2 linked regions of the Canis lupus familiaris genome follow. The protein of the gene in region 1 purifies or fractionates together with the protein of each later gene. This does not show direct contact. Links are inferred from orthologs where the notes say so. Each region holds a gene or a part of one and is shown on either strand. Other genes may lie near its edges.

The links. Proteins that work in one complex are often made in the same cells at the same time.
Region 2: the proteins of SDHAF1 (region 1) and SDHB purify together in Homo sapiens (co-immunoprecipitation; 3 studies listed by BioGRID and IntAct, with this or other methods). This does not show direct contact. The link is inferred for Canis lupus familiaris from reciprocal best matches to the Homo sapiens genes SDHAF1 and SDHB.

Annotation. Positions count from the first base shown.
Region 1 is NC_049222.1:117,532,946-117,536,764, forward strand, and holds SDHAF1 (succinate dehydrogenase assembly factor 1, mitochondrial), read right to left. Parts: upstream 2,254-3,819; 5' UTR 2,160-2,253; coding exon 1,803-2,159; 3' UTR 1,148-1,802; downstream 1-1,147. Other genes in the region: IgGFc-binding protein-like, read right to left, coding at 2,656-2,734, 2,870-3,159.
Region 2 is NC_049223.1:80,663,047-80,667,390, reverse strand, and holds part of SDHB (succinate dehydrogenase [ubiquinone] iron-sulfur subunit, mitochondrial), read right to left. Parts: intron 3,978-4,344; coding exon 3,892-3,977; intron 1,379-3,891; coding exon 1,242-1,378; intron 605-1,241; coding exon 488-604; intron 1-487. UniProt on the Homo sapiens protein: Iron-sulfur protein (IP) subunit of the succinate dehydrogenase complex (mitochondrial respiratory chain complex II), responsible for transferring electrons from succinate to ubiquinone (coenzyme Q).

The sequences.
Region 1 (3,819 bases):
TAAATAAAATCTTAAAAAAAAAAAAGGGGGGGGACAGAGAGAGATGAAGTCAGACCCAGATTAACAGGAACACCATGATGAAAAAAAAAAAAAAACCTGGGATCCCTGGGTGGCGCAGCGGTTTGGCGCCTGCCTTTGGCCCAGGGCGCGATCCTGGAGACCCAGGATCGAATCCCACGTCGGGCTCCCGGTGCTTGGAGCCTGCTTCTCCCTCTGCCTGTGTCTCTGCCTCTCTCTCTCTCTGTGACTATCATAAATAATAAATAAAAGAAAAAAAAAACAAAAACTGAGGCTGAAGAGAGATGAGCAAGCCGAGACAGCTGTAGTGGAAACCAGGTGTGCAAGCCACACAGCCTATGCTCTGGGGGCACTCCAGGTGCCTGCTGGGACCCTGCCTTTCTTTCCTCCAGGCCCTTGACCACACTGGTCCTCCTGCTTAGAAGCCTAACCCTACCATCTGGGAAACTCCTTATAATTCTTCAAATTTCAACTCCATTTCATAACTCTTGGTGCACCTGCTTCCCCTATGGGGATTAGAGCAGTCATGTTTCTCTTCCGTCTATCCTCTCATTGGTCAGAGGTCTGGGCTCCCCTCCTCTTACCAATGGCGTTTGCTAAGAATTCGTCTGCTTTCCATTTACGTAACCGACATGGTGGCAAATACAGTTCAGTGCTGCAAAATGCAGTATCCCAGAGAATGTCTAGGGAAGATCAATACAGGGATAGGGGAGGAGGTATGCCTGGGGTCTATGGGGCCATCTCTCCTCTCCCACCCCGGGCCTTGCTAACAAAGATCCTAGCGTGTATCTGAGGCTGGACTCTTCAGCCAGGTTTGAGGTCCTCAGTACTGCCTCAGGGGTTACTAGTCAGGTCTCCTCAGCTCCACCATTTTCTCTCCCCTCTCACTACCTTCTATTAGGGGGTCAACTGGGGTTTCTTTGGGGTCAAACCAGGGTGGTCCCAAACCAGGCAGGTCCCAAGGATCTGCCCAGGAGCAAGAACTAGGCTCCTTCAACCAATTTTCTAGTCTAGAGGGCTCCAGCGAGGAAGAGACAGCTCTCCACACCTATCCCTCCCAGAGAGCCACTTCCTGGTGTGTGAGGCCCTTTCCAACAATCCCCAAACATGTGAAATCTTTAAGACCATCAACAGGGAAGTAATCACATCCCCAATTTTATTCTTTTTGTCCAACAGTCCTGGAAGAAGGGTGCAGGAGTCAGCGTTCCCCATTAGAACTATCGAGTACAGGTCTTGAGGGGTCATTAGTTGATCAGAGGAGCTAAGATACCCCAGCCCCTTCCTCCCAGGTCCTAGACTGCCTCAATTAATGGGAAGAAAGTTTTCCAAAGGGGGATTCGGGGCTTCTCACCATCCATCAGGGTATCTTCTCAAAGTTCTCGGCAAAAAGTCTGCTCTTTTCAGAGTTAAACACAAGAGAGGGGGGCCCGGGGTCAGGAGAAGGGCGTCTTCTGTCTGACGGCGGGCGTCCTGGTTCCCCATGCTTTAGGGTTAAGTAGCTCTCAGCTTGACACAGCTCAGCCAGCCGGCAACCAAGCCGCCCCAAACCCTCACGGGGAGAGTTCGACCCGTTATCATGGATCGGGCAAGGTCAGGCACCTCTCAGCATCCATCATCGGGGTCTCTAGGACCTCACGTCCCGAGGAGGGCTCTCCAATTCACCCAATCCATCGAGCTGGTCTTCTCAAGACATCTCCCCTTCCAGCAAGTGGGTTCCCTGGTCCCCCCACGCAGTCAGGAGGGCCCCCGCTTCCCCTGTGCTACCGGGTGAGCTCCTCGGCCTGTCACCGCCCATCGGGAGGGGTCTCTGGTGACCCCATGCTGTCGAGGGGGCTTCTCAGACCACCACCATCGTCAGGCTGGGCTCCCGAGGCCCCCGCGCCGCTGGACTCCTCGGGTGGCCCCTGCGGGCGCACGAAGGCACCCATGGCCTTGGCGTGGCCCGAGCGTAGCAGCTGCAGCTGGCGCCGCCCGCGGCGGTACAGGTACTCGATCCGCAGCACGTCGGAGCGTGGCAACGAGGCGTGCTGCCGGAACTCGGCCCGCACTCGCGCCTCGGCGCCCGGCTTCCCCCGCCCAGCGCGCAGCAGCTCGCGGTACAAGCTCAAAACTTGCCTCTGCAGGCGGCTGGGCCGGCTCATGGTAGCGGCGGGGCCGCGGGCGCCCGCAGGCGACGCCCCGCGAGCAGCGGCCCAGCGACGCCCCCGGGCCTAACGGCCGAGCCCGGCAACAGGCACTTCCGGCCCGCGCACTCCCAGACTTCCGCCTCCTCCTTCGTTGTCCCATTGGCTGTCGATGCAGTTACGTCACAACGCTGCGGCTCAGGGGCGGGGCTGCTGGTTCCCAGGCCTGCCCCGCGGGGAGTCCGTGTCCTTGAGCCGACTGCGCGGAGGGGGAGCGGGGCGAGGCGCTGGGGTCAGATTTTGGGTCGGAAGGGACCAGGATCCCGACCTCACTCCCGGACCCTGGGAGACGGGGAACTAGAGGTTGGGACTTTGCGTCCCCGGGGCGCGGGGGGGGGGGGGGCCACTGGGAAGATACAGGCACAAGCAGGTTTGGTCGTTAAGTTATTTATTCAAACAATCTCGGGAAGGTCCGTGGGTTCCCATCGCCAGGGCAGGTGTGCGTCGGGAGGTCCTAGCCATGGGGACGTTCAGAGGGACGGCGTCGGCCGGTGAAGTGTTGGGTCACGGCTGGAGTAACCAGCTTCTCGGCGCTGTGGGAAGACCACCAGAGCGAGGGTGTGAGCCCCCAAGTGCCCCGAGGCAGCGTGGGGCGCAGGGAGTTACGTGGATCGCGCCCTCTGCCGATGTGAGCCAGGTACCCGGGCAGGAGAACGGAGGGTCCTCACCAGTTGTTGAAGCCCGGAGCCCGGCACGCCTGGAACACGTCGATTAGGCTGGCACCCCGGAGTCGTCCTGGGAGCATCAGGTCGTCGGCTGCAACTCCGTTGTAGTCCCCGCAGGCCGCCCGGAGGCGTCCTCGCAGCGCGGGAGAGGCCCGTAAGGCCACGGCACCCTCGGGCCCCACCAGCACCCGCAGCGTGGGGGGCCGCTCGATGACAACCCGGGAGCCCTCAGCCCAGCGTGCGACCACGCCCGCGCACACTTGGGCTGGGAGCCGCGCGGGTCGCCCGTTCACCTGCAGAGGGGAGGCGGATCAGGGGCGGGGATTAGGGCTTGAGTCCCAGGCTGCGGCTCCGAAGCCGCGGTGAATCCTGCTGCGCGTCTCTATCACAAACGCTCATCCAGGTCTTCGCTAGAGGAATAAGGTCTGGGATTTGCTTTAAAACCCTCCAGCGCGAACAAAGCAAAAAAGAGTGGGAGGAAAAGATGAAAGCAAACATGGCAAAATATTTGTAACTGTAACAGCGTTTCATAACACCCCTCTCTCTTCTCTTTCGATGCTTGAGATTTTCCATAATAAACTCTTTCCTAAAAGGGAGCTTTAGAGAACAAAAAGCCTCTGGAACTTGTCTCATCTCTCTCACCTGTGTCTTCACAGTCTAACAACTGTTTACATATACTGTGTGCCAGGCACTATTCCAAGTAAACAAATATTTGGTTATTTATAAGATAATGTGTGACAGTAGGGATCCCTGGGTGGCGCAGCGGTTTGGCGCCTGCCTTTGGCCCAGGGCGCGATCCTGGAGACCCGGGATCGAATCCCACGTCGGGCTTCCGGTGCATGGAGCCTGCTTCTCCCTCTGCCTGTGTCTCTGCCTCTCTCTCTCTCTCTCTCTGGGTCTCAAATGAATAAATAAATTAAAAAAAAAAAAAAAAGATAATGTGTGACAGTATA
Region 2 (4,344 bases), on another chromosome or scaffold:
GGGTGTTACGAAAAAACAGCAAGGTTCTGGTCCTGGTTTTGCCATGAACTGTTTTGCTATGAAACAGGGAGATGGAAGCTCCAGCGCCCATGGCCAGCATGTCTTTGATGTGCCCACTGTTGAAGAGCCACTCTAATGGAGCTGCCAACTTGGCAAGACCTGATCTTTTGCATACAAGTTTCTCTTGAAACAAACAAACATCCTGCAACATGGTAATCATGTGCCCTTCTAGGCGGGGCAGACATGCTCTGGATCCTTGACCCCTTGAGGGCCCCTTATGGGTTCATACTACCCCCTGGTCCTGAGAGGACAGCTGTCCAGCCCTTGGACAGATGCTCTTGTGGTTCCTTTCCAGCATACACTCCATTAATGGTCGGCATTGTCCCATGCAGCTACTCCCCCACCCCATCCCCCCCCAAGCCACACTTCTCCCAAGCATCTTTGCACAGAATTCCTCAAAGCAAGACAGTAAAAGGGGACTAATGACCAGTTTCTCACGATCTTCTATGGACTGCAGATACTGCTGCTTGCCCTCTTGGGATTCATCCTTCTTCTTCAAATAAGGTTCAATGGATTTATACTGAGCATAGAAGTTGCTCAAGTCCTGAGTAAGGGGAAGAAGAAGAAAAGAAGGGTCAGATTCTACTATCACTCCCTAGCATTCTCAGTCACCCCATTTCTTGGATGCTGCCCACTTCCCCATCGCACAGCAGCAGAAGTTGGACTCTCTTTGGCGTGGATCCGTGCAAGTGACAGAAGGAGAAATGGTCAGTGTTCATTGTGGCTGGGAAATCTCTCCTCTACCCACTCCTGAGGCCTGGTCCATGAAGGCGCTCACGAGTGGGGAGGCAGACACTGTGGAAGTACAGTGTGGAAGTACACTGTGTAACAATTGTTGCCTTCCCCACTGCTATTTTCCACATGAATTCTTTGTAGTTATGGCCAAATTTTTGATTCTGGGACTGTTCCAACTCTAAAGTCCCTGTTAGTCCCAAACAATCCTCTCCAATGAGGGGCTGGAGAATCTTCCAGGTGTGTTTATCTTCCACCATTCAAATTCCTCAATTAAACTCAGGAAAAAAAGCCTGCCCTAAAGAATGATAACACATCTTTCCCTCACACACACCTCTTCCCTTCTCCCTGAAAATAAAAAAAGGTGGGGTGGGGAAGAGTCAGGAGAGAGAGAGGGGATGGGAGAGAGAGGGGGCAGGGGAGGGATGGGAGGGGAGGCAGAAACTCACAGGAACCAGATCCTTTATCACATACATATGCGGCAGAGGGTAGATTTTGGAGACTTTGCTGAGGTTGGTGTCGATCCGGCGGGTGCAAGCCAGAGTGTTGCCTCCGTTGATGTTCATGGCACAGGAGCCACAGATGCCTGAGACAGAGAAGGCATTCAACGCTTCTGTACCCAGGCTCGGGAAGTCCAGCTTCAGACTCATTTTCTGGAATGTCATTCCCTCATTCCCCTACCATCATGAGCAGCACTGACATGGAGTACACCCGTGGCAGAGGTGCCCCACTGCTGTCTTCCTGCCTGGGATGGAGATCTAATGACCAGTTCCAAAAAGCCATGAGGCAACCCTGAGGCTGGAATCTGCACACTACAGACGGCACTGGAAGACAGAAAGGGCCTGGGGCATTGTTGGCATCACAGAGTTGCCACGCCAATCCCTAGCTCCATGCTTCATGCATTTTCAGAAAAAGAAAAAAAAGAAGAAAAAAAAAAAAAAAAAAAAAAAAAGGCAGCCCTGCCTGTTATTTGAACTCAAACTACTCAAACTCTGACAGACAGAACCCAAAAAGCAAATCAACAGTCTTGGCCATCTTCTGGCTGAGGCCTCGATATGGATTATCCACATATGACTCTTACTCTATAGTCTCCATCAAAACTAGCAGCACAGTGGGGGCCATGAAACCCACATAAACTGCCCGAGCACTGTCTTTCTAGGGAGAAGAATGAACTAATGTGAAAGCAAAGCAAAGCTAACCAAGCAAAAGTTAGGTGCTGACCAAGGACCCTGAAGATGACACTTTTCTTTGCCCGGGCTCATTTGCTGTGTATGGAAATTTCCTAGATATTTTAGAGTTTAAAGAGGAATATGCAATCTGAACCCATTTCTCTGAAGCTGTTTTCTTGAAGATCATCAGACCAGAGAAATGTGATTAGTTGTGAAACCTGTACTGGGTTATCACTTTGGTAAGACCGCGTTCTCTTCTCCTGCTAATCTTAGTAAGTGTGTAAGACAACACAGAGACCTGTTTTTAGCAAATACCGCGAAGTTCCCCAGGAGACTGAATGCTATCCATATATTTGTGTGTGCCTGGCATCCAACCAGAAGTATGCTTTTATAAGAAATGGTATGCAATTTAAAAAATAAATCCAATGAATCTTCTCTGAAAAAGGCTCCCCAGGAAATTCTCTTAAAAAACGATAAGGGAAGAGAAAGGAGTGGCAATTAGTATCACTCTGCCTCATACTTTTTAGTCCAGATGGGCCACATCATATGTTCTTGGCTCTGACAAAGTCTTACGGAGAAAGGTTACTGAAAAGCATCTATATTTCCTAGGTTGCCAGGATTTACGTGGGGAAAGTTGGTATTTAATTACCACAGAGCGTTCCCTGAACAGCAGGACTCAGCCAAACTACTATAATATCTGTCAGCATTTGGTACACTAAATCCCATCCTGTATGATTAGCTGAATCAAAGCAGATGTCTTAGAAGGAAGGCTGGAATACTTGACATGTACCGAACAAAGACAAAAAGCAATGGGCCAATATCCATAGTGACTTTTCCTTTTATGGAAGGTCATTTTAGGAAGAAGCTTCAATCACTGGTTGGGGTCCAACCTACTCTCTGTTTTGGTTTTATCCCAGGTTTTCTGAGCCTGGCCAGCAGAGCATACCGCCTGAGTGCGGTTCTGGAATCTGACAACCCTGGCTGATGCCTGGCTCCCCAACTACCTATGTGTTTTTTTGGAAGTCCCTTAACCTCCCTGGGCCTAAGGTCCACTGACTGTGCTCTACGGCCGTCAGGACCAGTCAGCCCTTGTGATAATCCTCTGTGATTTTTTTCCCATGTCTGAGGACTGCTAAATGATTATCTAGGAGTTTTCTTTTTCTTTTTTTTTTAAGATTTTATTTATTTATTCATGAGAAACACACAGAAAGAGAGAGAGAGAGAGGGGAAGAGATATAGGCAGAGGGAGAAGCAGGCTCTAGGCAGGGAGCCGGACGTGGGACTCGATCCCAGGTCTCCAGGATCATGCCCTGGGCTGAAGGCAGCACTAAACCACTGCTCCACTGGGCTGCCCTATTTATGAGTTTTCTTAGTATCAACTCACTTTATTTAAATTTATATTAAAAAACTGTATCACTGTTAGACTTTCATTAGTAATTATATTTTTCTAGCATAACAGCTCTTACTGTGGGGAGACTGTTCCTGCCTAGAACATTCCTACTGAGCAGATACTTTATATACGTGTACACTCGTAATGCTGGGAGCTGGCAGCGGCACACCTGTGCCCCCTTGCTGGACAAGGGTTAATGTGCACAAGCACTGACTAGAAACTCCACTGCTGTCCCCAGTGAATGAGCTCAGCAGTGGTGCAGAGATGGGCTGCGTCCTGCTAGCAGATGGGAGTTAATGCCTGAGGGGTGGGCAGCTCACGCCAGATGCAGGAACCAGGCTACATATGATTCCCGATGGGAAGAAAACTCAGAAATGTACAGAACCTGTACTACACTTGGGAGTTTTAGGCGCATTTACCCAAGGAAAGGAAGTGCAACACCTGGTCTCCTGGCAGACCGCCAGCTCAGCTGTGGCAGGCAGGCCGGCCGCGGAACCAGAGCCTAAGTGTCTAAAGTTTAACAAGGAAGGAAATGCTTACCTTCTCTGCATGATCTTCGGAAGGTCAAGGTAGAGTCAATTTCATTCTTAATCTTGATTAAAGCATCCAACACCATAGGACCACATCTGACCAAAAACAACAAAACACTCCGGTCATATTGACGGGATGTTCAATCTTCCTGCCCTTTGTTGTAATAAGACCTGAGACATCTGCATATGTCAGCTGCTCTTCTAACCCATTTGGCTTTCTCAGGGCACACTCAGAATTTTTTTCTGTACTTCTGTTTTTATGTTATCCTTACACATTCTAAGCACTGCGGAGTCACACTGCATATACATTTCTAGGAAAAGGAAAGCTACAGGGGTAGAGACAGTCCCCCACTCCTAAGCGCTGTGAGTGTCCATGTGCGTGGGTGCAGCAGGTGGGAGGAAGGGCAGTAGCACTGGCTTGGAAGCTGGAGCGCAGGCCTGGTGGCAGGGAGCCTGGTCTGAG